Linked DNA regions of Ovis aries. The protein of the gene in region 1 purifies or fractionates together with the protein of each later gene. This does not show direct contact. Links are inferred from orthologs where the notes say so. Each region holds a gene or a part of one and is shown in the gene's direction. Other genes may lie near its edges.

The links.
Region 2: the proteins of SRP9 (region 1) and LARP7 purify together in Homo sapiens (affinity purification with mass spectrometry; 3 studies listed by BioGRID and IntAct, with this or other methods). This does not show direct contact. The link is inferred for Ovis aries from reciprocal best matches to the Homo sapiens genes SRP9 and LARP7.
Region 3: the proteins of SRP9 (region 1) and signal recognition particle subunit SRP54 purify together in Homo sapiens (co-immunoprecipitation; 4 studies listed by BioGRID and IntAct, counting the BioPlex papers as one, with this or other methods). This does not show direct contact. The link is inferred for Ovis aries from reciprocal best matches to the Homo sapiens genes SRP9 and SRP54.

Annotation. Positions count from the first base shown.
Region 1 is NC_056065.1:28,083,896-28,094,534, forward strand, and holds the start of SRP9 (signal recognition particle 9 kDa protein), read left to right. Parts: upstream 1-4,763; 5' UTR 4,764-4,882; coding exon 4,883-4,954; exon of another isoform or gene 4,955-5,136; intron 5,137-5,212; exon of another isoform or gene 5,213-5,271; intron 5,272-9,571; coding exon 9,572-9,640; intron 9,641-10,639. UniProt on the Homo sapiens protein: Component of the signal recognition particle (SRP) complex, a ribonucleoprotein complex that mediates the cotranslational targeting of secretory and membrane proteins to the endoplasmic reticulum (ER).
Region 2 is NC_056059.1:13,370,150-13,379,988, reverse strand, and holds the end of LARP7 (la-related protein 7), read left to right. Parts: intron 1-2,808; coding exon of another isoform or gene 2,809-2,817; exon of another isoform or gene 2,818-2,829; coding exon 2,830-2,989; intron 2,990-3,243; coding exon 3,244-3,335; intron 3,336-5,750; exon of another isoform or gene 5,751-6,587; coding exon of another isoform or gene 6,588-6,860; exon of another isoform or gene 6,861-6,964; intron 6,965-7,684; coding exon 7,685-7,765; 3' UTR 7,766-8,033; downstream 8,034-9,839. Other genes in the region: non-histone chromosomal protein HMG-17-like, read right to left, coding at 6,588-6,860. UniProt on the Homo sapiens protein: RNA-binding protein that specifically binds distinct small nuclear RNA (snRNAs) and regulates their processing and function.
Region 3 is NC_056071.1:43,048,452-43,059,008, forward strand, and holds the start of signal recognition particle subunit SRP54, read left to right. Parts: upstream 1-5,383; 5' UTR 5,384-5,606; intron 5,607-10,557. Other genes in the region: uncharacterized protein LOC101118645, read right to left, coding at 4,797-4,893. UniProt on the Homo sapiens protein: Component of the signal recognition particle (SRP) complex, a ribonucleoprotein complex that mediates the cotranslational targeting of secretory and membrane proteins to the endoplasmic reticulum (ER).

The DNA of each region.
Region 1 (10,639 bases):
TGAAATCTGTTTCACCTTAAAGGAATCATTGGCTCAGCGGTAAAGAATCCGCCTGCCAGTGTAGAAGATGTGGTTCCCATCCCTGAATTGGGAGCATCTGTTGGAGGAGAGAATGATAACCCACTCCAGTACTCCTGCCTGAAAAACCCCATGAATGGAGGAGTCTGGTGGGTTACAGTCCATGGGATCACAAGGAGTCAGCATGGCTGAGTGACGAAGCACAACACAACAGCAACAGAAGGATCATTACCTGCCCAGACCGCGGCATGTTAGCATTTTAAGAACAGAGTGTAAGGAGGACACTGAGGGACAGCCTCAGGAACTCTGTCATCTGCCTGGGGGGGCGGGTTTGTCAGTGGGCGTGGCTTGAGGGTGCTAGTACCTTTGGTCTCTGAGCCCCCTTGAGCTGGGCTCTGGAAATGGGCTTTGTTTCTTGGGGTGACTTCTATCTCCACCTGCCTTCTATCTTGGCCTGTGTCCCTCCCTCCCTCCCTTTCCCACCCTGTCCCCCCAGGCTCAAGGTGACCCTCACTGTTCCTAGGCAGCTCTGGGCTTCTGATCCACAGAACTGGGCAGTGTGGGATGTGGGTCCTGGGAGTCAGTTCTGGGCTTCACACAGTCACATTCTTGTCTTTACCTTCAGACCACCCGCCCCATCCCCAAACACCTGGGAGGAGGGGATGCTGAGACCTGCTTGAATCCCCATAAACGCTTGTTTCTGCCTCCAGTCTTGATCATTTATAAACTCGCCTTATACCTACACCCTGCTCTGCTCACATTAGCATTCAAGCTGCTCACGCACATCTTTGTTTTCACTGTAGAATGCCTGGCAGGGTGACTGACACAGAAGAGGTGCTCAATCAGTAATTAATTAAACTGGGTTGGAAGTTCCTGACAGTTAAGTAAGAGCTAAGGCTCTTTCTGGAAAGGAAAAGTTGAGACTGAGCAAACGATAAACAAAACGCACCAATACCCGCCTCAGGTAAGGTAGGCGTACGCACTCCATCAGTTCAGTTCAGTCCAGTCCAATCGCTCAGTCGTGTCCCACTCTTTGCGACCCCATGAATCGCAGCACGCCAGGCCTCCCTGTCCATCACCAACTCCCGGAGTTCACTCAGACTCACGTCCATCGAGTCTGTGATGCCATCCAGCCATCTCATCCTCTGTCGTCCCCTTCTCCTCCTGCCCCCAATCCCTCCCACCATCAGAGTCTTTTCCCATGAGCCAACTCTTCACATGAGGGGGCCAAAGTACTGGAGTTTCAGTTGTAGCATCATTCCTTCCAAAGAAATCCCAGGGCTGATCTCCTTCAGAATGGACTGATTGGATCTCCCTGCAGTCCAAGGGACTCTCAAGAGTCTTCTCCAACACCACAGTTCAAAAGCATCAATTCTTCGGTGCTCAGCTTTCTTTACAGTCCAACTCTCACATCCATACATGACCACTGGAAAAACCATAGCCTTGACTAGATGGACCTTTGTTGGCAAAGTAATGTCTCTGCTTTTGAATATGCTACCTAGGTTGGTCATAACTTTCCTTCTAAGGAGCAAGCGTCTTTTAATTTCATGGCTGCAGTCACCATCTGCAGTGATTTTGGAGCCCCAAAAAATAAAGTCTGACACTGTTTCCACTGTTTCCCTATCTATTTCCCATGAAGTGATGGGACCGATGCCATGATCTTCGTTTTCTGAACGTTGAGCTTTAAGCCAACTTTTTCACTCTCCTCTTTCATCAAGAGGCTTTTTAGCTCCTCTTCACTTTCTGCCATAAGGGTGGTGTCATCTGCATATCTGAGGTTGTTGATATTTCTTCCCGCACTCCATAGGGATCATGAAAAGGCTGAAGTCAGCTCTCAGGGATCCGTCTCCGTGGGACCATCTGCTCACCACTGCCCTCCACTGGACACCGCGCCAAAGCAGCCCGGCCCCGTCGGGGCGCTCTCAGGTTTCCTTCCCTCCCCATGCTGGATCCAGCTCCTGGGCAAACCGGTTTTTCTGTTGGCTTCTCTTTCACTCTAACTGTGCTGCACTGAATTCATGAGACCTAGGAAGGCACAGGAGAACTGGGACTTCTTTGAGTCCCGGCGTATCCAGAGTTCCACAAATGCTTAATGTATGAAAATCAACATAATGACCTTTAGTTCCCAACATGCCAGCAGCACTGGGGACTGTTATGATTGCAAATGTAAGAACCCACTTAAGAACCTACTCCTACAACGGTCTACACACCCTATGCTGCCAGCTTTTAGAAGACAACCGAGGAGAACAAAGAAGGACAAAAAGCTTCTGGGAAAGAATTAACAACAACAACAGACCTTCCTCCTTAGAGGAAAGAGGGAGGAAGAACCACTAAATCTTGTGGAAAGGCTCTGTCCTGCACTAGATCCTGTGAGATGACTTCTCTCTCCTGCACTGTGCCACGCTCCTGTCTTTAATTATCGGTATGGGTGAATTTGCCTTATTATCGCTACCCCTTACCTCTTTAGCTTATAAGGATTTTGCCCAACACACTGACCCTTAAAAGTTATTGAATTCCTGGCAGTCAAATATGGTGTATGAGTGGCTAATAATTTGCCAAATGGCAATAGTAAAATAAGTCAAAAAGGACGCATCATATTTATGGCTTACAAATTGCTTCAACTTGCTGAAAAATTGTTTTCGTCTCCCGAAATTGAACTCTGGAGTTAGCCCAAGGCCTGGAAGGCATTTGGATATGAATCTGAAGCTCACGGAAGAACCTGCACTAAGCAGCATAGAGGCGAAAGTGAAAACCCAAATATTGCCCAGGAAAAACTCAGAGGGTGAAATCAAAGTATGATACCTCAGGACCCAGTGTTGAAGGGCAAAGGGAGTGGAGGAGGCTAGGACAGAGCCAGAGAGGGAAAAACCAAAGAGGCAGAAGAAGGAGCAAGGAAGGATGGAGTAAAAAAAACCAAGCGGCTGGGAAATCTCAAGGATGAAAGAGTGGCATGTGCCCTCAGATGCGGTTGAATGATCTAGTCAAGAAAGGATTGAGGGACTTCCCTGGTGGTCCAGTGGCTAAGACTCCGTACTCCCAATGCAGGGGGCCCAGCCTCCATCCCTGATCAGAGAAAGAGATGCCACGTGCCGCAAGGAAGACCCAGTGCAAGGAAATAAAGAAATAAATATAGATGAATATATTTTAAAAATTAAAAAAAAATAAAGGATTGTCAGCTGGACTGGGCAATATGAAGGTCACTAGTGACTCTGAGAGCAGTTAGTGACCTTGTGAAAGCAACTTCATTTGAGAGTTGAGGTGGGGACAGAGTAGAAGGTACTATGGTGGGAATGAGATTGAATGGGAAGCAAGGGCACGGAAACAATCATAGGAGGTAACCAACTTAGGTGAAAGAATAAAAGCTTTCACTTTTGACCTTGCACAGGCTGGACTTCACCAATTCAGCTTTCCTACAGCCACTAGTGACGTGTTCTAAAAATAAAAATTAATCATACCGCGTCCTGTTGTGATTAACATCTGCCGGCTCTCCACTTGCTGAACAATGGAGAGCAAAGTCCAGGGCCGATGTGTTTAGTATAACTTACTTTCTATAATTGTATTTATTTATTTTTGGCTGTACTGGGTCTTCCTTGCTCTGCGACGGCTTTCTCAAGTTCTGGCGGGCGGGGCATTGCTCTTTGTTTCCTTGTGGTGCTTGGGGCTTCTAACTGTGGTGGCTTCTCTTGTTTTAGCGCACAAGCTCTAGGGCGCAGTCTCAGTAGTTGTGGGGCAGGGGCTTAGTGGCTCACCGGCATGTGAGATCTTCCCGGGACCAGGGATAGAAGCTGTATCTTCTGCATTGGCAGGCGGATTCTTTACCACTGAGCCGCCAGGAAAGCCTTAAAACTGATGTTTTACTATACATAAAATATACTTCAACTTGATTAAAGAAAAATACCCTTCTACCTCACTCCATAGCCTGGAGAACAAAGTTCAAATTTCTTCCGGCTTAAGTGATATGATTTCTTCCCATTCTTCCCCCGTGCCCCAAATACGTGCTTGCGTCCTAAGTCGCTTCGGTCCTATCTGACTCTTTGCAACTCTATGGCTATTCTGTCCATGCGATTCTGCAGGCAAGAACACTGGAGTGGGTTGCCATGCCCTCCGGAGAAGGCAATGGCACCCCACTCCAGTAGTCTTGCCTGGAGAATCCCAGGGACGGGGGAGCCTGGTGGGCTGCCGTCTATGGGATCGCACAGAGTCGGATACGACTGAAGCGACTTAGCAGCAGCAGCAGCAGCAGCAGCCATGCCCTCCTCCAGGGGATGCCCACATTAAATACACTACGGATCTAAAATAGGCCTCCTGCCCTGCCCACCTGTTTAACACCCGTCATGTTTCTCAAGATTCAACTTGTGTCATCCCCGTTAGCGTCCTCTAGACACAGATGTCTATCATAGAAAGCTCTCCATTGCACTCTTCTGTTTTTGTCTCGCCTTTTACTAAGCTGTAAGCGAGACAGCTCCAGCGCTTATCACTAAGCCGCTCTATCTTTGCTGAAGAAACCTGGGCTTTATCGTTGTCGTCCAGCCAGAAGGACAGCGGGACAGATCCTCCTCCAGTCCTACAAGGGGCGCTGTGGCAACCTCCATCGTCTCTCCTCTCTCCACCTCTTCGGACCCTCTCCCAGACTCACACGCTTGGGGCTCCGCCTCCTATGCAACATCCCTCCTTCCCATTGGGCAAGAACGATCCAGGCTGACCAATGGAGCGAGGCGTTGGTGCGAGGCGGCGCCGCCATCCTTGAGCTTCTGGGCCCCTGTCTCGGTAGCCGGCTGTGGGAGTTAGGGAGGTAGGTGGGCCGTGCTGCGCCGCCTCCGGTCCACAGCCGTGCCTCTTTCTGTCCTTCTGCCGCGGTCCCACGATGCCGCAGTACCAGACTTGGGAGGAGTTCAGTCGCGCAGCGGAGAAACTCTACCTCGCCGACCCAATGAAGGTAAATCGCAGGCGGAGCCAGTGTCTCTGTCCTAGCTCGGGTCAGGATGTCTTCTCTGGCGTCCGCTCGGCCTCCGGAGCTTCTGCAGCATCCTAGGAGGTGCTGTGTGTGAAGAGAGACGGACTCCGCGCGAAGTCCGATTGTTCTTTTCGTCTCTTCTCTTAAGAAGGGCCCAGTGAAGCCTGAAACCAGCAAAATCAGGGTCAAGTCAGGGCTCTAAGAAGCCTTCCCCCGCCTACAATCCCTGAGCTTCCCTACCGTTGGTTTACGTGTCTCTAAGGGCAGGGCTCCTCCCCTCTGCAGCTTCGGCTTCCTGTGGCGCTTCAGTTCAGTTTCAGTTCAGTCGCTTAGTCGTGTCCGACTCTTTGCGACACTATGGACTGCACCACGCTAAGCTTCCCTGTCCATCACCAACTCCCGGAGCTTACTCAGACTCAGTGTCCATCGAGTCGGTGATGCCATCCAACCATCTCATCCTCTGTCGTCCCCTTCTCCCGCCTTTCCCAGGTCTTTCCCAGCATCAGAGTCTTTTCAAATGAGTCAGTTCTTCGCATCCGGTGGCCAAAGTATTGGAGTTTCAGCATCAGTCCTTCCAGTGAATATTCAGGACTGATTTCCTTTAGGATGGACTGGTTGGATCTCCTTACAGTTCAAGGGACTCTCAAGAGTCTTCTCCCAAGAGTCTTCTCCAACACCGCAGTTCAGAAGCATCAAAGACCCTCATTTGGAGGCATCTACCTCCCGCAGATTAGTGGTTCTTAATATTTTGGAGGTTAGTGCCCTTTAAGAGTAGGAGAATGCACTTAACACATAAATGTTTGTAAACAGTTTTAGGGGGTCCGTGGATCCCTGTGGCCTTCATTGGAGGCTCAGACAGTAAAGAATCTGCCTGCAATGCAGGAGACTCGTGTTTGATCCCTGGGTCAAGTAGATCCCTTGGAAAAGGGAATGGCAACCCACTCCAGTATTCTTGCCTGGAGAATTCCAGACAGAGGAGCCTGGTGGGACTAGAGTCCATGGGGTCACAAAGAGTCGGACACAAAGTGAGCGAGTAACACACACACATGGATCCCTGTAATTCATTCATGGCCCCCATAAAATTATAATAAGCTAACCTCTGACATCGGCTTATCATAATTTTACCAGGGCCGTGAATGAATTACAGGGATCCGTGTGTGTGTTAGTAACCAGAGAAGTTGCAAGGACAAGAATTTAGCATTTGGGTCTTGATTTTTCTTCCTCTTGGTTTTTATTGTCATCTAAATATTATTTGAAATATTGAAAAGCCCTGCTAGCTTTTTAGACCTAGATAAGTAACAAGCCAGAAACAGTCTTAGTTCCATTCTTTGCAATAAAGTGATGTAATAGTAATAAATAATAAAATGAATTAGATACTTGTGAAATTGAGTACTTTGTTTATGACACAATTTCTGGCTCCTCCATTTGGTTGATTTTGTTCGTAGGACCATTTGTTTTCTTTAAGCAGTGTACCGTGAGGACTATACAGGACTTTTGTAGAAGTACCCACAGTGTAAACTAATATTTGGAAAGATAGTAAAGAATATACAAATCCACAGTAAGAGTAATAATACTATAAGAATGTGGTCATAGTTATAGGGAAAATGAAAATAAAATGATTATTATTGAGCATTGCTATGAACAAAGCATGTGTAGAATAGACAGGGGAGGGAGAACCTGAGTTCTTTTCAGAAAATTCCAGTGACCTAAAAACTTGTGCCTTTTCATGATAACCTTCACTGGGTTTTAACTGATTTTTTTTTGATAGGCTGGTAAAGGGATGAGTGGGAAGAGAGCTTGACTGACAGTTGTATTGAATACCTTCCATGTATACAGTTGACAATCCCTTGAGGTAGTTGAATGAACAGTCTTAGATACATTAAATGATTTGCCTGGTGATCATTAAGAGATTAGGCTAAAATTTGAACCCACATCTCTAAACACTGTGTTCATGCTGTTTCTACCAGTCTATACTGCTGAAACTAAAGAAGAAAAGAAATTTTGTCAGAACTCTTTGGGATCTGTTTTACAGAATTCTTTGTCTTCTCTTCCTCTTGATCATATTTATCACCTTTTACCTTTCTCCATTGCATCCGCTCTAAGTAAAGATGGTATTATTGCTAGACCATGTAATAACCTCTTTGTCTGCCTGCTTTTAAAATTCCTTCTTCATTCTCATACATACTGCAGCTATCTCAGACACAAAAATTGAATTCCCAGTTTCCTGTTTTAAAACTAGTTCTTCACTGATTGCTGGTAAAAGTCCCACCTTCCAGGCCCCAGTCTGACCCTCTCTCCAGTCTTGTTGGCTTTGTCTCCCACCATTTCCACCATCCTCAGCCCTAGCTAGCCTCAGAAAGCTACAGGATGCATCATATCTTCATTCAGACTGCTGCTTCAGCCTTTCTCCTAACTTCTTCCCTAAAAGAAAGAAAACAAAAAATGCATTTCTGCAGCCATTTCCATAAATTCTTTTTACACTTTCCCTTCCCCCAATCTAAATTACTTGTTTCCTCCTTTAGCATTTTATGTGTATATGTCTTTCTAGGACTTAATTCATGTTGTCTTATGTTTTGATTATTTAAGTTGGTTGAATTACTAAAAAAGCAAGAACCTTGACTTCTTTTTCTTCTTAGTGGTGTCTGACATGGTAACGTAGGTGCTTTCTAATTTACCAATAGAAAGGGGATTGGGGCTTCCCAGGTGGCGCTGGTGGTGAAGAACTCGCCTGCCAATACAGGAGACTTAGCGGGTTCCAGATCCCCTGGAGGAAGGCATGGCAGCCCACTCCAGTATCCTTGCCTGGAGAATCCTGTGGACATAGGAGCCCGGCAGGCTACAGTCCATGGGACCGCAAAGAGTTTTTTAACTCATTTCTCCTAATGAAGCCATTAAGTATTCTTTTAAACAGGAGTTAAAACTTTACATAGTTGTCATGCTTAGCACTTTTTTAAGTTGGTTTCCTTTTGTTTCCAGAGGACTAATTTTTTTTAATATGTGAAACTGAATTTACTGGCTCAATAAGTAGAATCTTATTAGGTAGTCTAAAGATACTTACACCTACTTAAGTGCTTGTTGAGTTCCCTTTCCTCCCTCACCAAGACAAATCTCAGGATGATATGACCTTTTTTAATTTGCAAACCCAGGAGAGTAGAAGGCATAATGAGAAAAGCTGTAGAAAAAGCTCTAATAGCCCTTTTTATCTAGTTTCCAGAATTATCTTGAGGGTCCTGTGCTGCATTGGAGCCATTTTAAATATATGTTCCTGTTTTGTCTGGTAGATACTTAGCAATTTTTAAAACAGCTAGCTAAAGCTAAACTAGAGTTGTTTATTATATTTTTATTAAGAAGGAACTTGACTCTGCTGTAGTACACTGTTTTGCATCCATCATTTAAAGAAATAAAAATAATGTTCATGGAGGTTGTAAACTCTATTGGGAGCTGTTATCTTTTATTGGAATGTACTAATATCTAAATCATTTTCTTGGCTTCCTAACTGTAGAACACCCAATAGCAAAAGTGCTGTGTAGCATGGCACAGCATGGCACTCCTAACTCAATGTAGGAGTTATTCTAGATGTGGAAAATTGTGTCTCATGTCGTGCCATCATGAGAAAGATACGATTTTGCTGAGTAGTTAGTCTGAGTCCACCTCTTGAGAGTCATGGGGAAATGGAAAGTATGAACTGCAACTGCAGTGCTCTTTCCTGGAAAATGGGTTTGAATTTTACTAGCCATTTCTACTCCCCCCCGCCCTTTTTCCTATCAGTCCTCTGTGGCTAGGTGTGTGGGTATTATAGGGGAGAAGAAAACCTCCTTTACTCTCTTAGGTTTCATAACTGGGGCTCTGCAAATTAAACTGACAAAAGACAGTTTAATAAATAGAAAGACTTTACACTTAACATAGAAGTTTACAAAGAGGAGGAATTTGGGACCTATATACCATCTTAAGGGTGGGAAAGTATGGGAGGGAGGTTGGACAGAGGAAAAGAGATTTGGGGCTTCTGGGAGGGGGTACGTTCTGAGAAGGTGACCAGGGAATGTATAGGCAATATTAGAGTTGTCTGGTAAGGTAGGGAACAAGCCTTCTTCTCTTTTCCCAGGGAGAAGAAACACCTTTACAATTGGGAACTTAGGTAATCTTTACAAAGCTTAATTTATGTCCTGCTTTTGATCAGAAAGGGCAGAGAACTAATTACCTTCAGCTCAAAACTTTCCTTTAGCTGAAGTGGTATACTTTTGAGGTAGCATGCTGTGAATACCCTTCATACATAGTCTTACTGGCAAGAAATGCCAAACCAGTCTTAGACATTCTCTGAATATGGGTGTGCCTTGGGAATTTTCAGTACATCTTTTTAAAGTGGCTGAAAATAAAATACCTGACTTTCTTTTAAGTCTTAAAAATATTGTAGCAATAGGAATGCACAAAATGCTGTTTCCCCTCATTTCAGTCATGATAAGTTTACAGTAAAGGTGCCTTTAGATATTTTGGCTATTAATTCTAAAAGGATCTATTTTATTTTAGCTCACTTGAAGACTAAATTATTTATGAGAAATGTCTTCTGACTTCACTGTTTCTAAATATGTATTTTTATTTCAGGCCCGTGTGGTTCTCAAATATAGGCATTCTGATGGGAGTTTGTGTATTAAAGTAACAGATGATTTAGTTGTAAGTATACATTTTTATTTGTTGCATACTTTCAGATTTGCTTGAGTTAATCATGTGTTTGAAATTATTTACATAGAATTTATGCAGGTCACCCATTAGAATGCTTATTTTGTGTTTCATTCCCAAGACAAGAGCCTTGTTCTTGAAGCTATTTTTGTAGGCACTTGGAAAGATAATTCAACTTGCTTCATTAATACAGTTTGTCAGGTATAGTTTAATAACAGCCAAACAAGAGGAACATAGAGACCAAACATAGATACAGGGGTAAAGGTTTCCTTGTAGATGTGTGAGGAGTAAGTGGTATTTGAACAGAAGTTATAGGCTCTGTAGTTGCGTTTCTCTCGTTCCCTGTCTGCTCATTCCTGTCGCTTCCTCACACCCCATTTATGTCTTACCCCTCTGCCATGTGGTTTCTACATGAAGTCTTTCCTTGAACCTGCTCTCAGTGAGGGCTCAGCAGCAGCCCCTTCATTTTCAAACCCAGCAGTTCATATCTTGCTTGACCTCCTGGCTGCTTTTAATATTTTTAATATTTATTTGGCTGCACCAGGTCTTCATTGAGACATGCAAGATCCTTAATTGTGGAATTCGGATTCTTAGTTGCAGCATGTGGGATCTAGTTCCCGGATCAGGGGTCGAACCTGGGCCCCCTGCATTGGGAACGCAGAGTCTTAGCCACTGGACCACCAGGGAAGTCCCCCTCCTGGCTGCTTTTGAAACAGGAAACCAATTCTTGTAGAAATGTTTTGGCATCTGTGGCTTCCTTTTATCTTGTTTTTCTTTTTCTCTGTTTGTTTCATTCTTTGCTAGTTATTTTGCTGACTTGCTCCATTAATATTGGTTTCTCCAGGGTTCTGTCCTTGATGTCGTCTTATCACTTCTGGATCAGTCCATTAAGTCCAGTACTGCCTGTATGTCTGTTTCCAATTTTGAACCTTCAGCTCATATTTTTCTGTTGGCTTCCTGACTAGGTCTGAGTTGAGCATTTTTCCTCCTCTA
Region 2 (9,839 bases), on another chromosome or scaffold:
GTTGGTTTGTGATTGTTTCTAAAATAAAACTGTAACTATTTGCTGTTTTCTTATTTGGAGCAAACTAGAGAATTTGTAGTTTGTTTTCATTAGAGCTTTTAGTTTTCAATAAATTCCTAAAAGATTTTGTGACTTAAAAAAAAAATCGGAACTATTTTGAAGCAAAAGGGATAGTGTGCATATTTTTCACTTACTGTAGACTTAATTTTTGTCTGTTAATGAATCCTCTTGAGAATTGAAATTTTCTCCTGAAAAAAATGCAGGATTGTTGTTTTTGGCAAGAAGAGCTTTTAAAAATTTTATTCCTAAAAGTTTTTTTGGTATTTTCAGTCCACACCGATTATTTTAAAATTTTTGAAACAATTACAGGAAAGTGTAAAGTATTTTGACAATCTCCAGAATTTATAGTTTACACTTGAAGTTCCTATCCCTGCAGTTCTCATCGTCTTTTTTCATTTTATACAGTTTATCCCCTACAGCATTTTGTACTAGCATGGCAATATTTGTTATTCCCATACTCTTTTTAGTGGGAGTACCCTATTTACTTTTAAATTTTCTCATCCATTTAAGTGAAACACTTTCTTTTTAATCTAAGTAATGTGTTCTGTAACATAGCAAGTGTATTTATAATTCTTAGCTGAGGTCAGCACCATATGGTATGTTGTTTTGGTTTTCCAGAGACTGTTACCAGTAAACATTTTTTAACTTCTGTAACCATTGAAGTTGCTCATTGTAACCATCTGTAAGCACTGTTTATCTGAAACCCTATCCCTTAAAATCCTGTATCTGTCACTAACACGTAAATCTAGACTCTCACTATAGTATTGATGAGGAATTTTGTTAATCCCAAATTGATATACTAGCTTGCACTTCAAAATTTGGTAGCAAAATAGACTTTGCAATAAAAAGGATTAAAAAATTGAAGATGTAAATGCTGCGGTGGTTAGTCAGATGGCCCACGTTTTCAAAGAAAAATTACTCAAAGTTTGTTATTTTGAATAACTGGAATAGGTTTAATTATATTTATCAGAGAGATTTTATTATCTAAATGGTAATTATGTCAATTACAAATTCTTCATTTTTGATCACCAAAATCATAGAATAAATGCTATTAACCAGGTAAGTACTTACATTTTGCTGGAACAAAAACTGAGCTATGATTCTTACTGCTGTCTGTGAATTGCCCATGTGATAGCCAGGTTAATTTGTCATTCTAAGAAGGGTTTTAAATCTGGAGATTAGCCTGACATTATAATGGATATTTAGTAAATATATCAGTTACAAAACTCTCACTACTACCAGTAAACACATTCAGATTTCATCACTTAATACTTTATATTTCCTTCTTTGTGTTTAAATTAAATACTCATTAACTAGATAGAGAAATGGGAAGAATTGGCAAGTATATTTCTCTCCAGTTTTCAGTTTTTAAATTGAATTTGCCTATAAAGTGTCTATTTTGTGATAAGCAGTGTTTTAAGTGTTGGATAAATTAAGACTTAGTACCTGGCTTGTATTAATATATAAGCATGGATTTTTACTACTTATTCTTTATTATTAACTAAGGCACTTTTCTTATGAAGTAATATTTCCAGGTATTGCTGAGTTCTTTCTGTAATTCAGAATTTTAAAATTCAACATCAAAATGTAATCTAGGGAATCCTCTGGTGGTCCAGTAGTTAGGATTCCAAGTTCTCACTGTGAAAGACTTGGGTTCAGTCCCTGGTTGGGGAACTAAGATCCCACGAGCCAAGAGGCGTGGCCAAATAAATATTTCTTTTAATAAATAAATAGTCTAAATCAGTTGCATCTTGAAATTTTAGGTTTAAACTCAAGGGGTTGAGGTAGGTAGGGCTTGCCTTTTTTTTTTTTTCTTTCAGTTGGGAACCTTCAGTTACTTTAGCTTTATGAATGGAAGTTGATGAATTAAGAATTAGTGTAACATTCCTGCATAATTACCTTGCTTACACTGTAGAACCTGCTGTGAAAAAAAAAATGACTTGGGAATGCAGGAATCTTGTTAATTTGCCCTCACAGCAGGCCTTATAGGTAAAACTTCTCATTGCTACGTGACTCTAAGAGGTTGCTTAGATGTTTTATCAGAGTAAAACCTCTGGCCCTCTCTGTATTCCCATAGACAACTTGAGAACCAAACATCTTTCTGTGCTCCTTGAAACATTTTTCACAAGTGGTTATAAAAAGTTTGCATATATTTTAAGTCCTAAGTGATTCTATCCAGGTAAGTGGAAACACAACTTCTTCCTTAATGCCATTTCAGTTTTGTTTTTCATTTTACTCTCTAACTACACCCAGACATGGAGCCCTTCTTCTAAATTTGAGGGGTAGAGGAAAGTATTTGTACATTCTGTACTATAGATCTTTTCCCTTATGTCACATTCCCATCTAGTACAACTTTAAAGATACTGTTAAATGAAAAACAGTTGTTAGAGTTGATGTTAAATTGGTCCTCAGCTTTGTCCAAGTCCATTCCTAAGAGCATTTGTTTTGAGGTCTTTTTTTTGGTGGTGGTTTGGTTTTTGGTTTGGGGTCTGTTTTGGGCGTCTTTCTTATTAGCTTATGGGATCTTAGCTCCCAGACCAGGAGTTGAGCCTGTACCCTTGGAAGTGAGAGTGAAGAGTCCTAACCACTAGACTGCCAAGGAATTCTCCATTTGTATATATCTTAGAAGCTAACTGGAATGAATCAGTTACTCCTAATTTGAAATGATACATGGCTTAATTTTATAATAGATCCTACACTGGATTAATTTTAGAATTATAATGAAATGTTTTTATTATTTATTTTAAGCCCTTCTAAATTCTAATGCAGGATACTTTGGCAGCAATCTCAGAAGTTGTTTATGTTGATTTGCTGGAAGGAGATACAGAATGCCATGCTAGATTTAAAACTCCTGAGGATGCTCAAGCAGTAGTAACTGCACATTCGGAAATTAAAAAGAAACACTGCTGGAAACTAGAGATTCTTTCTGGTAAAACTTTATAGAACCTCCTCTTTTTTTTTTTATTTTAACAATGCTTATTTTAGGGTGACTGTTTTATAATTTCCAAGTTTGGCAAATGAAACTGGGGGAGGTTTCTTTACACTAATATGTGCAAAAAAGGCATTAAATAACTCAGACAACTATTCTGGTTCTACTGAAAATACAAAGCTATGGATGTGTTTCTTCATTTATATCCTTATGTTCAGTGATAAGCATTTTTGTGTTTGTTTGTTTGTTTAAAGGTGATCATGAACAGAGGTATTGGCAGAAGATTTTGGTAGATAGGCAGGCCAAACTTAATCAACCTCGTGAAAAGAAAAGAGGCACTGAGAAGGTAAATCAGTTCATACTTTGTAATTTTAATTTCTGGCTGTTTTCTTTTATAATTTGGTGGTAAATGATTATTTAAAGATTGTCTTAATGGTAGAAAGCACAGTGTATTTAGAGTGTAGTTTTTAAAGATATGAGTCTCTACAGATAAGATTGAGAAACTATGCATATCATTCCCAATAGCAATGGTAAGCTTTATTCCTTTTTCTCTAGAATAGCTGACAGGGGAAATAAACACGCTTAAATTAGTACATTAAATAATTTATAGAAAAAAATAATAATTTAAAGCAAGTCTCTCAGTAATTTTACTTTTAAGAATTTATCAGATGTTTATTGTTGCTAGTAAGCTGTTTATTCTTTTTAAAAATATTATACGTGTTAAAGTTAGTACATCTTAAAGTGCTTAGAGCAAAATAGGGCATATAATAATTATCAATTTCTAAATGTGTACTGTAAAAATCAGTAAAATCCAAAAAGATGTATGTGCATTATTTTATGAAAAATCATACTTCCTATGTTCTGAGTTTGTTAATTGTTCCTATTTATAAAATTCTTTTTTTTATAATTGGAAAATCAAGTTTTTTTCATCAGTCTTGCATCTCCTAGGATTCATTGGAATGTAAAATGACTTGGGAGGAGGTTTTCTACTGATCTTTGTTAATTCTCTTTCCATGACTGCAGACTGAATTTGTTGAGATAGAGAGACCTCCTTCCTCTTTAAGGACTCTTTCAGGTCTATGAGGTGTTAATTTCAAAGCCTACTTAAGCTTTGATTAACTTAAATGTTAAAATCATTAATCCAGAACTCACAATTGAAATGAAATCACTTTGTTAAATAATATTTTTCCTTCTAATTGGTGTAAAATATCATTTAAATTGTGTGTATTTTTAAAACTAGAAAAAAAGCAGTTTCGTATTTAAGAAAGACTCCATCTATATACATTAAATTTGAGACAAGGAAATATACACTGACAGAGAATGTTGTAAATTGGGTTCAAACCAGTGAGCAGTTCTGTCGTTGAGTTGAAGAGTTCTCATGTGTTAATGAATAGGATCAGGCTTTTAGCATGATTTGTATGTTAGGCAGACATCTGAGAGTATAGAATTCTAGCTAAAGCAGTGAAAGTACTAGTTTGCTCATTTCATAAAATGAAAAAAGGTTCCACACAACCTAGCTCCTCAGAGGAGAGAAGGTTATTCGTTTACTACTTTGTTAATTCATTTAATTAACATTTTTGGTATTGGTTTGTGTTAGCCACTGTTTAACAACTGAGTGTCTAGCCATGAGTAACAAGGTCTCCTTTTTTCATGAGGCTTAGAGTTAATATAGGTCAGATGATGACCAGTGCTGTGCAGAAAACTCAAAAAGTATAATGAGGTACATCAGATGAGGTTCCTTGGGAAGTTCTCTACAGAGGTGACCGTAGTGCAGACCTTAGGGAAGTGAGCAGACAAGCCAGGAGAATTTAGGCGCTCCGCTTGACACTCTGAGGCAGCAGAAAGCACAGAGGTCTTGAAGGGAGATTGTCAGACTGGGAGGCCAGTGTAGCTGGGATACAGGAAGCAAGCAAGCGTGTTAGTAATGGAAAATAAGTGTTTTAGAAAATATTAACAGTCAAAAGTATAGTGTAAATGCCTCACTGACATGCCATTCTACCATTTCTACAGTAGTATACTTGAGTGAAAGAAAAATACTGATAGAAAATCCTGGTTATTCTTTTCACTTTGTAGAGGAGAGGGCTACTGGGGACAGTTTTCTAAGCTCTATTCAGTTTGTAAAGAATTAAAAGACAATTGATAAAGAGATACTTTGTTTTCTATGTATGATATTTTGACATAAAAATCAAGTGCAGATAAATTAAGACCTGTAACAAAAGGTCAGTAAGATGAAGGAAAGACCTGCCATAAGGGGTCTCATTCATTCTACCTCAACCAAATCTTTCTAGTGTACCCTATCACATTAAGCATTTTAGTAAAATTAGATAACAGGTTTTGGAGACACAGTGAGGCTTTTCTCATTTTTCTTTAGCTTGCAAAGCACATTTGAATTTTTTCTTGTTTTTACCGAACTCGTCTTTCCTTTATAGTACTGACAGGTCAGCTATTAAACAGATAAAGATAGAATTCATATAATTTGCGAAAAGCATATGGTTGTAAGTTTTAAACACTTAAGTTTTGACTCCACTGATCAGTTTGCTTTTAGTTTAACCTGAAAGCGACTTCCTAAAAACTTACCACAATTAAAAAACTGAAAAATAAATAATGGTGACTTCCTGCCAATGACCACTTATCACCAGCTTAAAAAAACTATTTTAATGAATAGTCATTAGAATCTGTGTTTATAAGAGAATAAGATTTTCATTTCCTCCAAAGCTAAATATGCTACTTTAGTTTTTCTATCAAGAAAGCTTTTGGGCACTTTTTTTTTTTTTAACTGTATCCAGCTTTATTAAAGATACTTTTCATAAACAATCATGGTATTTCAGGCAGGACATGGGCAGACAATCGTTAACAGTATACAACTTTCAAACTCCCTTCTTCAATGGACTACCAAAATCAGAAAGCCACTATAAAAACCCAGTGAAATCTTCATGTGATGCTCTGAACAGGGAAAGTTTAGAGTGAGGGTTGACATTTCACATTTAGCATGTTGCTTAACAACTTTTCACAAGCCGACCCTGACTTTCAGGAAATGGAAATGAAAATGGCAGAAGTATCACTCTGAGGAGCCGCAGTCTAAAAAAAGGAACTGCTGCTCTTTTGAAGGACGCCATCTCAACGGTGACACTAGAAAGTCCAGATTGCCTGACATACTGGTCATCAATTTTGGGGGGGCACGGGGTTCAGGTTCCAACAGGTCTCTGGGTTTAGTGGAGTCAAGTCTGTGCTGAGGTGGAGAGGGAGAAGAGGACATAAAAACTAAATTTTAGTTTTCCCACACCACAAGGCGTTTGTGCCAAGGTGGCTAATGTGTGTCAACATCAAGGAATCCCTCCTTCCTGGGAACCAAGAGGAAGTCTCTCAAACTAGGCGGGAAAGGTATTTTCCCCCCACGTCAATTCAGCTTCTGAGACATTCTGTTAGTGATGTGCCCTTCCCCAAAAAAACAACAATGAAGTGTTCTGTGTGCTAACAACATAGCTTAAAAAAAAAAAAAAGTAAAACAAAATTCTGCATTTTTATAAAACTTGATAAAAAATAGTATTTCAAACTGTATAGTCACCAGAAGTACACAGTTATCAAAAATGCACACACTTCACTTGGCATCTCCAGCACCTTCAGCTTTCTGTGCCTGGTCTGTTTTGGCGTCTCTGTTTTCTGCAGGGTTATTCCCGTCCTTGCCAGCATCGGCTTTCCCCTTTTTCCCTTTAGGTACCTTCTCTCCCTTCTTTGCAGGGGCCTTTTTAGGCTTGGGCTCTGGCTTTGGAGGATCAGGTTTAGCAGATAACCTTGCAGATCTTCTCTGTGGTTCGTCCTTCACCTTGGCTTTATCTCCTTTAGCATCCCCTTCAGCCTTTCTCTTGGGCATGGTGGCTGCGGCGGTGGGACGGAGGCGCTGGACACGGGGATGCAGTGGGGCGCGGGCTTTAAGTCGATCCAGGGGTCGCTCTCGCCTCTTCTTCACACTGCTCCGCTTTGGGGCACTTTAAATGGTCTTCTTTATTCTGCATAATTTCATTTGCCTTCTGTAAAATTTTTGATTATTTATGTAAGAGTGTAATAATAAGTACTTTTAATAGCAGATCCTTATTTAGAATATTTCTCAAATTTGTAAGCAAAGTGTCTTAATACTCAAACCCCAAGGGACATGATGAAACAAAGATTGGTCTTCAACCCTCCTAAAATGTCAAAAAAAAAATTTTAATTTTATATTGACACATTGGTGATTAACAGTGTTGTATTAGTTTCAGGTGTATAGCAGAGTGATTCAGTTACTACACATATACATGTGTTCTTTTTCAGATCCTTTTCCCATTTAGGTTATTACAGAATACTGAGGAGCATTCCCTGTGCTGAATAGTAGGTCCACGTTGGTGGAATTATGGTTATTTATTAATTAAATAATAACCAAATTATTGGTTATTTTTAATTGAAATTAATTTTAGTAGTCTAGAACTAAAATGCAAGGATCTTAGATAATTCAAAGATTTAATATCTACATTTAATAAGCTCTAACTTAGGTAGTTCTCTCTGTAACTGATTTGACCTGAGCTTAATTATCTCATTTGTTTTCCTCTTCCCCTTTTTAAAATATTTTATTCAAGCTAATAGTTGTGAGATTTTTCTAGTCATAATTATCTTTCTGTTTTTAGGTATCCAGTTCCTTCTAATTTCTGATTTTTTTCTCTGTAGTTAATCACCAAAGCTGAAAAGATTAGACTCGAAAAGACTCAACAAGCAAGTCAACACATTAGATTTTCTGAATATGACTGAAAAAAATTTTTTGTTTACCTCTTCAGATTTCACTGGATACTAGAGCTATTCTTAGGAATATCTTTTTTTTTTTATGGTGGTAATGCATAATGTTTTTCTAAAAGCTACATTTAATTAAATAGTTTTTCTTCAATTTGTAAATACGACTTTTCCTGGAGACAGTTACATTGTTTACCACAGTTGTTCTGTAAACCTTGCGTTTGTTGAAATTATATGACACAAATCAACCTCAAAGTGATTTAGAAAATAAATGTGTTTGAAATTATCATTACGTTTGCTGTTTTTATATTACAAAAACAACATATATGCAAAAATAATACTATCTAAATAGCTTGGAGGAAGTGTTTAACAGAGAATGCTCATTGTGCTTTTTATTTTGTAACTTGCTTTTTCCATTTGAAATATCTTAGATATCCTTTCATGTTGATTTATACAGAGGCGTGTGTGTGATATTTCATTCTGTTTATTGTACTTTGCCTGTCCGAGCTTCCATTGAACTGACCATATGAACTGTTTGCAATTTAAATGTTTTAAACATACTAAGTTTGTTTTCATAAATGAAGTTAAACGTTTTATTTTGATTAGACAAAATAAAATGTACCAGATGCTATAAACAAAGAAAAGAATATCTTTTAGGAACCAGCCTTTGGTATAATTGAAGTGTATCATTTTATTCAGGAAAATCACAGAAGTGAGTGTTGAAGGCCTTCCTAGAACTGAATGTCCAGGGATGTACATGACTGGCATCTTAATCTCTCATCAGGATATCAGGAAAGTACTCTGGATGACCTTGGGATTCATTTCCTTGGGCTACAAACCCATTTCTAGTCCCATCAGCTTTGTCCAGCAGTGGCGGATTAACTTGGATGTCCCTTGGATGCATTGTGGGAGGCAAAGAATCAAGAATCTGTTCACTCCTATGGGCCAGAGATTTGAAGAGATTGGCTGCGTCAGGTTAGGGTAGCAGCAGCTTACTGCCAAAAATAGGCATGCTGGGAGGTTGCCACCGACTCACTAGTTTTTCTCTCCCCATGAAGAAGAGCTAGCGTACACACTCATGAAGAAAAAGAATGATCAGTAAATTCTTGCTAAACGCTCTTATAAGGATTCTGACTAAATATGCTCTGGTTGATCCAGAATAATCGATACTAGGTGTATGTCTCAAGGATTCAGTTAATTTCAAGGAGGGCTGTCATAAGGTGACTTTGGAGAGGTTATCAAGTAAACTTTCAGGAATTCTCCCCTTGGCAGTCTTTAAAACAAGATAGAAAGAAAGTGAAGTCACTCAGTCGTGTCCGACTCTTTGCGACCCCATAGACTGTAGCCTACCAGGCTTCTCCATCTATGGGATTTTTCAGGCAAGAGTACTGGAGTGGGTTGCCATTTCCTTCTCCAGAGGATCTTCCTGATCCAGGGATCAAAGCCGGGTCTCCCACATTGTAGGCACTTTACCGTCTGAGCCACCAGGGAAGCCTAATCAAGACACTATTGTAGCACTTGGGAGGCATTAGTGAAGTAAGTCAAAGATCCCTCTCTCATGGTGCTTATATTCCAGCAGTAGATAGAGACAATAAATAAAAATAAGTAAAAATTACACAATGTTAGATAAGTCCTAGGGACAAGCAGAAAAAGATGGAGGGGGAGAAAATTTCATTCATTCATTCTTGCATTTGTTCTTCAGTTCACTTAACTAAAGGAATACTTATTTGACCCCGGCTTCCCTGGTGGCTCAGATGGTAAAGCATCTGCCTACAATGCAGGAGACCTGGGTTCGATCCCTGGGTCGAGAAGATCCCCTGGAGAAAGAAATAGCAACCCACTCCAGTATGCTTGCCTGGAAAATCCCATGAACCGAGGAGCCTGGTAGGCTACAGTCCATGGGATCACAAAGCGTTGGACACGGCAGAACAACTAACATTAACACTAACTAACATATCAGACACTCACACTGTAGACTTGAGAGACATGAAGAAAAGGTAAGGTCCCCTGCCTTTGAGGAATTTACAGCATTGAGGGACACTGGCAAGTCAACAACATAAACTGGCAGTACAATATAAGTAGCAGGACAGTTACT
Region 3 (10,557 bases), on another chromosome or scaffold:
CTACTACATAATCACTCAGTTATTGTAGCTGTTAGTTACAGGCTTCCCTGGTGGCTCAGATGGTAAAGAATCTGTCTGCAATGCAGGAGACTGGGGTTCGATCCCTGGTTCAGGAAGGGAATGGCAATCCACGCCAGTATTCTTGTCTGGGGAATTCCATGGACAGAGGAGCCTGGTGGGCTATAATCCATGGGCTTGCAAAAGTTGGACACGACTGAGCGACTAACACTTTCAGCAGCTCTATTACGATGCTGGCTAGAAGTGATGAGTACAAATCCCTGTTTTGTTCTTAGGGGAAAGAATTCAGTCTTTCACCATTAAGTATGATGTCAGCTGTAGATTTTTCATAGATCCCCTTTATCAGGTTGAGAATGTTTCCTGCTATTCCTAGTTTGGTAAGTGTTTTATCAGGAAGAGATGTTGGATATCGTCAAATGCTTTTCTATGTCTCTTGAATAATCATATAGTTTTTCTTTTCAGTTAATATAGTGAATTACATTGCTTGATTTTCTAATGTTAATCTAACAGTGCATTTTGGAATAAATCACTTGTTCATATTATCATTTTTATATATCGTGGCCATTTTCAATACACAATAAATGTGCTGAAAAGTACAATTATTTTTACTTGACAGAAAAATTTTGTTTAAGAGGTATGCATTTGCCCAGTGTATCTTTTTAATTTCTGGAAAAAACAATCTATTTACCTCATATACTTGATAACTTTCACAAATTCATAATGTTTTAATAAAGGTTGGAAAATCTGTAAGTTATGTGGCTACTTCCTCAGTGGTAATACAATGTAGAACTGGAATAGTATGCTGTTTGACAAATGTAACTAGATCCCAGCCTTTGCTTTTTAGATTTAGTAGGAATTTCAAAGAACCTCTAACAACTTTCTAACTGCTGCTAAGCAGCCTGTTCAATGAAGATGTATTTAAAATACAGGAAGCAGAGAACCTTCTAAAAGCTTCTATTCATCTACAATTATCTTCCTTAAATATTAAAATATTTTCTTGATGATTTTATTAATTTCCTTATAGTATACCTCACTTTTCTATCCTTTGTAACTTTTTAAAAATTTATTTTTAATTAGAGGATAATTGCCTTACAATTTTGTGTTGGTTTCTGCCATACAACAATATGAATCACTGTTGAGTATACAATATCCCCTCCTTCTTGACCCTCCCTCCCACCCCACCCTGCATTCCACCCCTCTATGTCATCACAGAGCACAGGGCTGAGCCCCTGTGCTATAGTAACTTCCCACTAGCTATCTATTTTACACATGGTCGTGTATGTATTTGTAACTTGACCCAATAGAAACTTTTACACGTTGTTGGTCTGACATCCTCATTTGTATACGCATATTCAGGAAAAATTCAGAGGCTTCAGAATAGTGTTAACAGACAACTGTTAACAAAATGCAATTGTTAATATGCCTAGTGGGGACCGCACATATAGTTCTGGCTCTCAGTTCCCTTAATAGATTGTAGTTACTCTCCTATATGTTGAAAGCTAAGCCAAGAGTCCATTTCATATACATACACGAAGTAGTATGTATATAAAGAAGTAGAAAAGAACATATGCTCTACCATGAGATTAGAGTCAATGCACTGAGGTCCTGTTATATTTTTTTACTCTTATTTATTTGCAGCGGGAGCTGTCTTTGCGTGCTTTGTCCCTAAACTTTGTTTCATCCCTCCTATGAAGTGAAGTGAAGTGAAGTTGCTCAGTTGTGTCTGACTCTTTGCGACCCCATGGACTGCAGCCTACCAGGCTCCTCCATCCATGGGATTTTCCAGGCAAGAGTACTAGAGTGTGTTGCCATTTCCTTCACCAGAGGATCTTCCAGACCCAGGGATTGAACCTGGGTCTCCCGCATTGTAGGCAGACGCTTTACTGTCTGAGTCACAGGGGAAGTATTTTTCATCCCTCCTATACTAGTGATCATTTGTTTCTAGACCTTTGGTATAAGCTGTACTAAAGTAAATACAGGGCCTATCTTTATTTTTTCTACATCTTCAGTTTATATCAGACGTTGACATGTGCTTATCTCTGTCCTGGTCTACGATTCTGGTTCTATCAGCTTGATTCCAAATGACCCCAGGTCTAGGTATGATAATTCCACTATTTCTTCAGAGACCAACAGTATTATTCTTTCTTCTGTGTATTTAAAATTATTGTGATTTTACTTGTTAGCAATATGTAGTTTTTTTAATTTTCAATAAATTCTATGAAGCTCAAAACCAAAATCATAAAGCCTATTATTAACTCTTGCTATTCCACTAAATGGTATAAAAATTCAAGCAGAGTTATAATTAACAAAGGTCTAAGCAAATATCATATAAGTAAGATATCATGCAATAATTTTTTTCCCCTGGAAGAAGGGAATTAGGGAAATGAAAAATTGCTGATTGGAAGAATCTTTTGTGCTGTATTTAATAAAAAAAAGTACACAATGAGTTTCAGTTCTGGAGGCAATAATGATGATGGTTGTACAATGTAAATGTATTTCATGTCATTGAACTGTACACTTGAAAATGGTAAATTTTATATTATGTATATATTATATTACCACCTAAAAAAGGTTTACCAATAAATTACACTACCTTTTAAGATTTATATTAAAACATACTCCTTCGTCTTAAGCTAAAGAAAAAAAGTACGGTCGCTTAGTTGTGTCTGACTCTTTGTGACCCCATGGACAATAGCCCGCCAGGCTCCTCTGTTCATGGGATTCTTCAGGCAAGAATAAGTGATACTTATTTCTTAAAATATTCATTGTAATAAATATTTTTCAGAAACTCAGTTTGTTTTTTTAAATTGTTTAACAAACTGCTTGAGCACCTCTGACTACAGGATCTGCTGGAGAAAGACAGAACATGGTGTTAGAAAAAGTAGAAACATATTCTTTAGGCAACAGTGTTGGGTCTTCTTGTTTACAAAATCATCATCCAAAACGCACTTTCAGTGATTTCGGAAAAATGGAGTCTCAGCTGATGCCTTTAAAATTGGAGATTTAGATTACAAATGGTTCCACAAAACTGAAAAATCCTGACAGCAAGGATATTTTAGTAATTGTGCAATTGCCAGAAACAGGCAGTAGATGGCAATTTTGCAGGCATCCAGGGGATTTTGGAATAAAAGATCTTATATTAAAAAATACCAATTTTGAATCTTCTTCATAAAGAAGACTGAATGTCAAAGAATTGATGCTTTTGAACTGTGGTGTTGGAGAGGACTCTTGAGAGTCCCTTGGACTGCAAGGAGATCAAACCAGTTACTCCTAAAGGAAATCAATCCTGAATATTCATTAGAAAGACTGATGCTGAAGCTGCAGCTCCAATACTTTACCCACCTGATGCAAAGATCCAACTCATTAGAAAAGACCCTGGTGCTGGGAAGAATTGAAGGCAGGAGGAGAAGGGAACGACAGAGGACGAGATGGTTGGATGGCATCACTGACTGAATGGACATGAGTTTCAGTAAGCTCCGGGAGATGGTGAAGGACAGGGAAGCCTGCCTGCTGCAGTCCATAGGGTCCCAAAGAGTCAGACACGACTGAGCGACTGAACAACAATCTTGAATGTTGTCTGTGTGTAAAAATATGAAGCTACCTCTTTGGTTTTCTCTACTTTCCAGGCTAAATCTCACTAGCAGATGTCCAAAGTAATTTTATTTTGGCATCTTAGCTAAAATGATCTTCCAAAACGTGTAACAGTAATAACAATAATGATAACACCTAAATGATTATTGAATCTAACAACACAAAGAGAGAGAAGTTCCCGGGAGAATGTCATGCCTGAAAGTCTAAAACTGGGAGTCATCAGCAAACAGGAATATTTCATGTCTGGCTGAAAATAAACATGGAATCAACGTTTAGGAGTACAGAAGGAGAGCATGGTTTGGAGGAGCTCTCAAACGAGGAATATCCTATTTTTTTGTGCTTTCACCAGGTTTCACTTTGCTAAAATATAGATCTACCTCCATTCTTCACTAACTCGACCTAATTACCACATTTCAATTCTAACGTGTGCTTTTTTAGTATTACTATTAATATTATTCAAACCAAAGTCTTCCCCTCCCCTCTTTCTCTCTCTCCCCACCCTGGAACAACTCCTTTAAATGTATGGACTATTAAGACTAGTTGCGACTTCCCTGAAGCTGATGGTAAAGAATCTGCCTGCAATGCAGGAGACACGGGTTCAATCCCTGGGTCAGGAAGATCCCCTGGAAAAGGAAATGGCAACCCACTCCAGTATTCTTGCCTGGAGAATCCCATGGACAGAGGAGCCTGGTGGGCTACACAATTCATGGGGCTCGCAAAGAGTCACGACTGAGCGACTAACACACACATTGAGATTAGCTACATGTGACTTTGCCTACAGGGTAAAAAACTTCCAGTTCTACAGTTTAAAACTTATATCGCAAAGGGCTTTTTCAGGTAGTATCCTACTGGTCGCCCCAAATTTGAGAGAATAATGGGGAGGTGGGCTAACCCACTCCTCCCACCTTTTTTTCCTTTAGGAATGAGAGTAGACACTATGCGGCTCTAGCTGCCTAAGTCTGTAGCGGAATCATAAAACCCAGAGCCGGGTCTTTCTGCACCCAGTCCTAAACTGGACTCTTACTCTGCCGATGCTTGCGATATGCCCGGGTCAACCCGCCAGGTAGCAGAGCAGAGACCAGCACCGCTACCCCATGGAAGACTTCTGGCCTCACCCTAGGTCCCCAAGGTCAGCGCCCACCGCATATCCTTGCCCCAACTGTCTGACTCTGGCTCTGATCGCTTACGGGTAGTTCGCATCCACTGCAGAAGCGCTGGGAGGTCTGCCGGAGCCACCGTACGGAGCAGTTGCAGTACTGCGAGCCGCGCGGCGCGGAATTCCATGTTGGAGAAGAAAGCAGAGCAGCGGAAGGTTCGCACTGCGCACGCGCAGGTAGAGGCCGGTTCAGACACCCGATTAGACCCGGCGTGGAACCCGCCTCCCTCGGCTACCAAAGTCTAAGCCCCGCCTCGTACTTGGTGTTCTCACGTGCTCCTGGGACTCCGTACTCTGAGACATCCCTCCCCCCACCCCCACCTTTCATAATTCCCCTCTTAGCTGGTGGTGCTCAGCCAAGTCATTTTTCTTAAGGTGGCTCCTGGAGGCTGGACATCTTTCCTGAGATCGCATCCCTAGAAAGCCTCCTATCTTCTTACTAACTTTAATGCCGCAGATATTAAGTGATAGGAAACGAACGTCAAAGGCCAATGAAGGCAAAGACACATCTCAATACACTCTCGGTAAACACACTGTAGACACGCGCCGAGTGCCCCGGAAGCGGAAGTGTATCCCCTTCTTGAAAGGCTGGACTACGCTGAGTGGTGACGTTTCCTCATTGGGCGGAAGGTTCGGTGGCAGTCGTCGGGCTTCCAGCTGGTGGGAGTTGGCGTTGCGGTACTGGGCGCTGGAACCCTAGTTTATCCAGGTTGGGAAGTCGGGCTGTGGGGTCGCACCTGTCTGTCTGATCCCGGCGTTCCCTGGTTTCCTCCCCCGGCGTGGGGCTTCGCGAAGGTCTCCCGGGCCCCTTCGGGCCACGGCGGTAGCGGTGCCTTTTGCGGTAAGTGTCTGCTTTTTCCCGCCCCAGACTACCGACTGGCAGCTGGGGGCAGCCCCAGTCCTGCTCAGCGGGGTAGACACTCCGGAGGGACTCGGCTGCTTGGGCCACCAGCTTTCGTCGTCGAGACAGTGGTGCGCTGGCCCATTTTCATCTCTTGTCCCTCACCAGAAGTTTTGTTAAAAGATGCGCTGTGACCCTTTAAAATTGTCTTCAGATTTGCCAGAGCCAAATTAAACGTAAGCGATTTCAGCCCTGACTCTGTTTTGCTGTCCTGATCAAGAATTTAGATGTGGCTGCTACTCCGAAAATCTGTTGACTTGTACCAGATTTTATTTTTCCACGTTAACTTGTGTCTAATTAACAAAGTGTCCCGCCTGTAGTAGGCTTTCAAAAATGATTAAGGGATATCAGTTCAGTGCCGTTGACGACCTAAGATATACTGGTGGCTCTGTCCGTAGCATCTGGTGCTACTAGCCGTTTCTTGAAACTCTTTCTCCCCTGTTGACCTTGTTGATGCTGTTCTCACATAGTTCTTTCATATGCTTCATTCAACAAAATATTTACTCTTTCTTAGCTATAAGGATACAGAAATGAATGACTTGAACCCTGGCATTGAGGACCTAACAGTACAGTGATACAGAGACACATAAATATACATTATAATCAAGATGAGTAATGAGAAATTCTAGTAAGGTGTAAAGAGCCATGAGAGCTATGGGAACAAAGATGATGTGCTCTGCTCCTTAGAAGATTTGTGACCTTGAGCAAGTTGATATTCCAATCTAGCCTCAGTTTCCTCATCTACCTTAGTTTGAGAATGGAAGATTAGGTAACATGTTTGGTACCGTGCCTAGAATACAGCAGTGGTGGTGCCAAAGTGGAGGGGAATTATTTCCTTCAAACTTCTTTCCCTTGATTTTTTGATCTGGTCAGTTAGTAGAAAGCTAAATATAAAGTCCTGTGCAAAAGCATCTTCAAGCCCTCCTTCAAAGAGATTGATTACTCCTGTAACTCCACCTATCTGGAAATTCTGGACCTGCCGCTGGAATACAGTAAGATAATCATAAATGGTAGCTTTTAATTTTTTTTTCAATTGATCTTCTTCTGTATGCCTTTGCAAAGGGAATTGGTAAAAGCTTCTCTCCTTCTGATTATTCTCGAAGTCTCAGTGGACTTCTTTTAGTTGGTGGTTCACCATCGCCTTATTCCATAAGCTCTCTCTCAGAGTTCTCATCTACTTCCATGGTATTATTGTTGTATGCCAACCATTTCCACATCTTTTTCTCTAGCCCCTGTTTCATGAAATAGTATTTTAGTTTCTGCAAATTCAATAGGTCTAAAACCAAGTTCACTCCACCTTCTTTTTGTTCCCCTTTTTATTACATATATCCCACTCGTTTTCCTAGTTTATCTCAGAGTTTTGACCTTGGGATTCTAGTTTAATTTTGTGGTATTTGTTCAATTTTAAAAGAATAATACAGTGAACACTAACTATCCAACCTGCTGCTGCTGCTGCTAAGTCGCTTCAGTCGTGTCTGACTCTGTGCGACCCCATAGACGGCAGCCCACCAGGCTCCCCCGTCCCTGGGATTCTCTAGGCAAGAACACTGGAGTGGGTTGCCATTTCCTTCTCCAATGCATAAAAGTGAAGTTGCTCAGTCGTGTCCGACCCTCAGCGACCCCATGGACTGCAGCCTTCCAGGCTCCTCCGTCCATGGGATTTTCCAGGCAAGAGTACTGGAGTGGGGTGCCATTGCCTTCTCCGAACTATCCAACCTAGTAGTAGAATATTGTAAATAGCCTTTAAAGCCCCTTGAATCTTGCCTCTATTAACTCTTTAACTTTCAAATCAGCTTCTCTTTTTTGCGTTCCATTCATTGGTTAATGGCATCACTAACCACCTGGTTATTCAAACTAGGGCCCTCAGTCATTTTTGCCTGTTTCTCCTTCATTCTCCATAACCATTTGATCATTAGGTCCTATAGATTTTGCTTTATGATTAACCCCTAACTTGAGCCCTGTCCCTCTGTTTTGTGTTCGTTCTTAGTTCAAGCTCACATCTCTTGAATAGACTTTTGGAGTATGTTTAGTGTATGTAGTCTCCTTACTCTCCAGTTTTTCTCCCTTCAATGGCTTTGTTACATTGTCTCTAATTTTTAAATTATAGAACAGATTTTTTCATTCTCTTGTTTCCCTTAGTGAGTGTTGCTTCATGCAGTGATTATTAACCCTGGCTGCACATCAGTATAGCCAGTAAAGTGTTTCAAAACATAGGTGCCTTGTTTGGCTCTCCTAATCAAGAATTTAGATGAGGCCAGTTCCCCCATAATCTTCTGATGTTACCATCCCTGGAGATTCTGATTGAATACTTCATTTTTAGCTGACAGGTGTTAGCTGAATGCCATTGAAATTGCCCATTACTTGAGCATATGCCTCATCCCTCCTCATCCATATTTTCAGGCTGTGTTCTTTTTAGCTTCAAGGCAAACTATTTCCAAGGAGTTCTTTTGAGTTTGTTTTAATTTTCCTCCTGGTAACAGTTTACATAAAGATTCTTTTTTATGATTGACTTGACAGCCAGAAAGCATCTTAGAGAATTGATTCCCAGTGTTTTTGAATTATTAGCTATTGTTGCTAATTGAATTTTTGGTATACCTTTTCTGCTATTAAGCCATGAAGTGTTGCAGTGGTTTTATCTTTAGTGTTAAAATGAGTTTTAAAGTTGTCTTAAAATTTGAAAACAGAATCATTGTATTGAAGAGACTATTTCCTCATATTGATTGGTGTAAAATAAGACAGAGAAGTCAGTGGTGGCATGATACCTAATTTATTTTCTGAAGTTAACAGAGGAGTCTTGTCTGTGTTAACGATGTAATTTATTGATTTGAAGTTAGAACTTTGCTCATGCTGGAGCAATTCCTGGAGCACATAGTAGGTGTATAATGAGTGACTGACTGACTAAATACAAGGGGTAATTCTGTCTCAACCTCTAGAATAATATCATTCTAATTCTCACAAAGAGCTCTTTGAAAAATAACTTTCCTCTTAACAAAAAATAATTCTCATAGTCGTTACCAACAATTTGAAAATTATAGGAATGTATTAGAAAATTTAAATTACTATTCACCATCTAAAGATGACAAATGTTATTATTTTCTAGCAGCTTTACTACAATAGAAAAGGGTACAGTTCAGTGGTCTTTAGTGTATTTGCACAGTTGTGCAACCATTCAGGGCTTCCCACGTGGCGCTAGTGGTAAAGAAACCGCCTGCCAATGGAGGAGACTTAAGAGACGCAGGTTCCATCCCTGGGGAAGATCCCCTGGAGGAGGGCTTGGCAACCCACTCCAGTATTCTTGCCTGGAGAATCCCATGGACGGAGGAGCCTGGCGGGCTGCAGTGCACGGGGTTGCAAAGAGTCAGACGCAACTGAGCATGCACAGCCATCACTGCCATCAATTTTAGAACATTTTCATCACTCCAGAAAGAAACCCCATGCCCACTGATACTTCTCATTTCCCCCTAATTCCCAAACCCTAAGCAACCATTAATCCACTTTTCTTTATAGGTTTTTCTCTTCTGGACATTTTATGTAAGTGAAATCATATATTCTTTTGTCACTAGTTTCTTTCATTTAGCACAATGCTTCCAAGATTCATTCAGGTTGTGATGTGTATCAGTACTTCATCTCTTTTGATTATCAAATAATATTCCATTTGGTGGGTATGCCACATTTTTATTTATCCACTCATCAGTTGAGGGATATTTGGCTTTTTTTCCCCCTTCACTTTTTGGCTAGTGTGAATAATGCTTCTAGTGACCATTTAAGTATAATTCTTTGTGTAGATGTGTATCTTCCTTTTTCTCGGATGTACCGAGGAGTGGAATTGCTGGGTCATACAGTAACTTTGTGCATTTAAAATTTTGAGGAATCGCCAAACTGTTTTCTAAAGGGCTGTACCATTTTACGTTCCCACTAGCAGTGTATGAGAGTTCCGATTTCTACGCATTCTCACCAAAACTTGTTATTATTACAGTTATCTCAGTCTGGGTCAAGTGGTATCTGATTGTGCCTTTGATTTACATTTCCCTCCTGGGTAATGTGTTTTTTGGATATTTGTTTAAACAAAATACATGATGTGCAGTTTTGTAATCTGGCTTTTACCTTTAAGTATATTTCTAGCATTAGCAAAGATATTTGCAAAAGATTTTCCCTCATTTCTGCTTTCCTCTTCACTCCTTCCCAAACCATAATTCTTGTGAAAACTTGCCTAAATTATAATGCATTAAAAAGTCTATAGGAGTGTATGCCAAATTATTGTTGCTGGTTATCAAAGGACAAAAAGAGGATTAGGAAAACTGTATTTGTACCTTTAATGTTTCTGTAATGTTTGAATATAATGAATGTGTATCCTCTTGTAATCACAAAACTAAAAAATGAATTATTTCTTTAGAGGACTGAGTATATTCAGAATGAAAAATATTCCTAAATTTGAAAGGCATTAACTTGTATTAGTTATTCAGATATAATCATTTTACCAAGTAACATACCAATAGGTTGCTTTGTTAGATAGTTTACTTTTCTGTGGTTATAGACTATAAATACATATGCTATGTAGAATTTAAAAAATATATATGTGTTTAATATTATAATCAGGAAAGCATATACTGGTTTGGGCTATTGAGTATTTTACAGGAAAGCATATAATGTAGAAATCATTTTTCTAAAGATATTTACTAATAATAGTATATTTATATGTTTAGTTCTTTAGTGTAATATTGATCCAATAAGTTAGTCATTTACTAGGGCATAGAAAAACTTTTTTATTTTTGCCTGTAGAATTTCAAGGACAGAGGAGCCTAGTAGGTAGAATAATTTTTTAATAGATGTTTTCATTATAATAAGATTTAGAATATCTAATCATTAGAGTCTGTTTATATAATCCCAGATT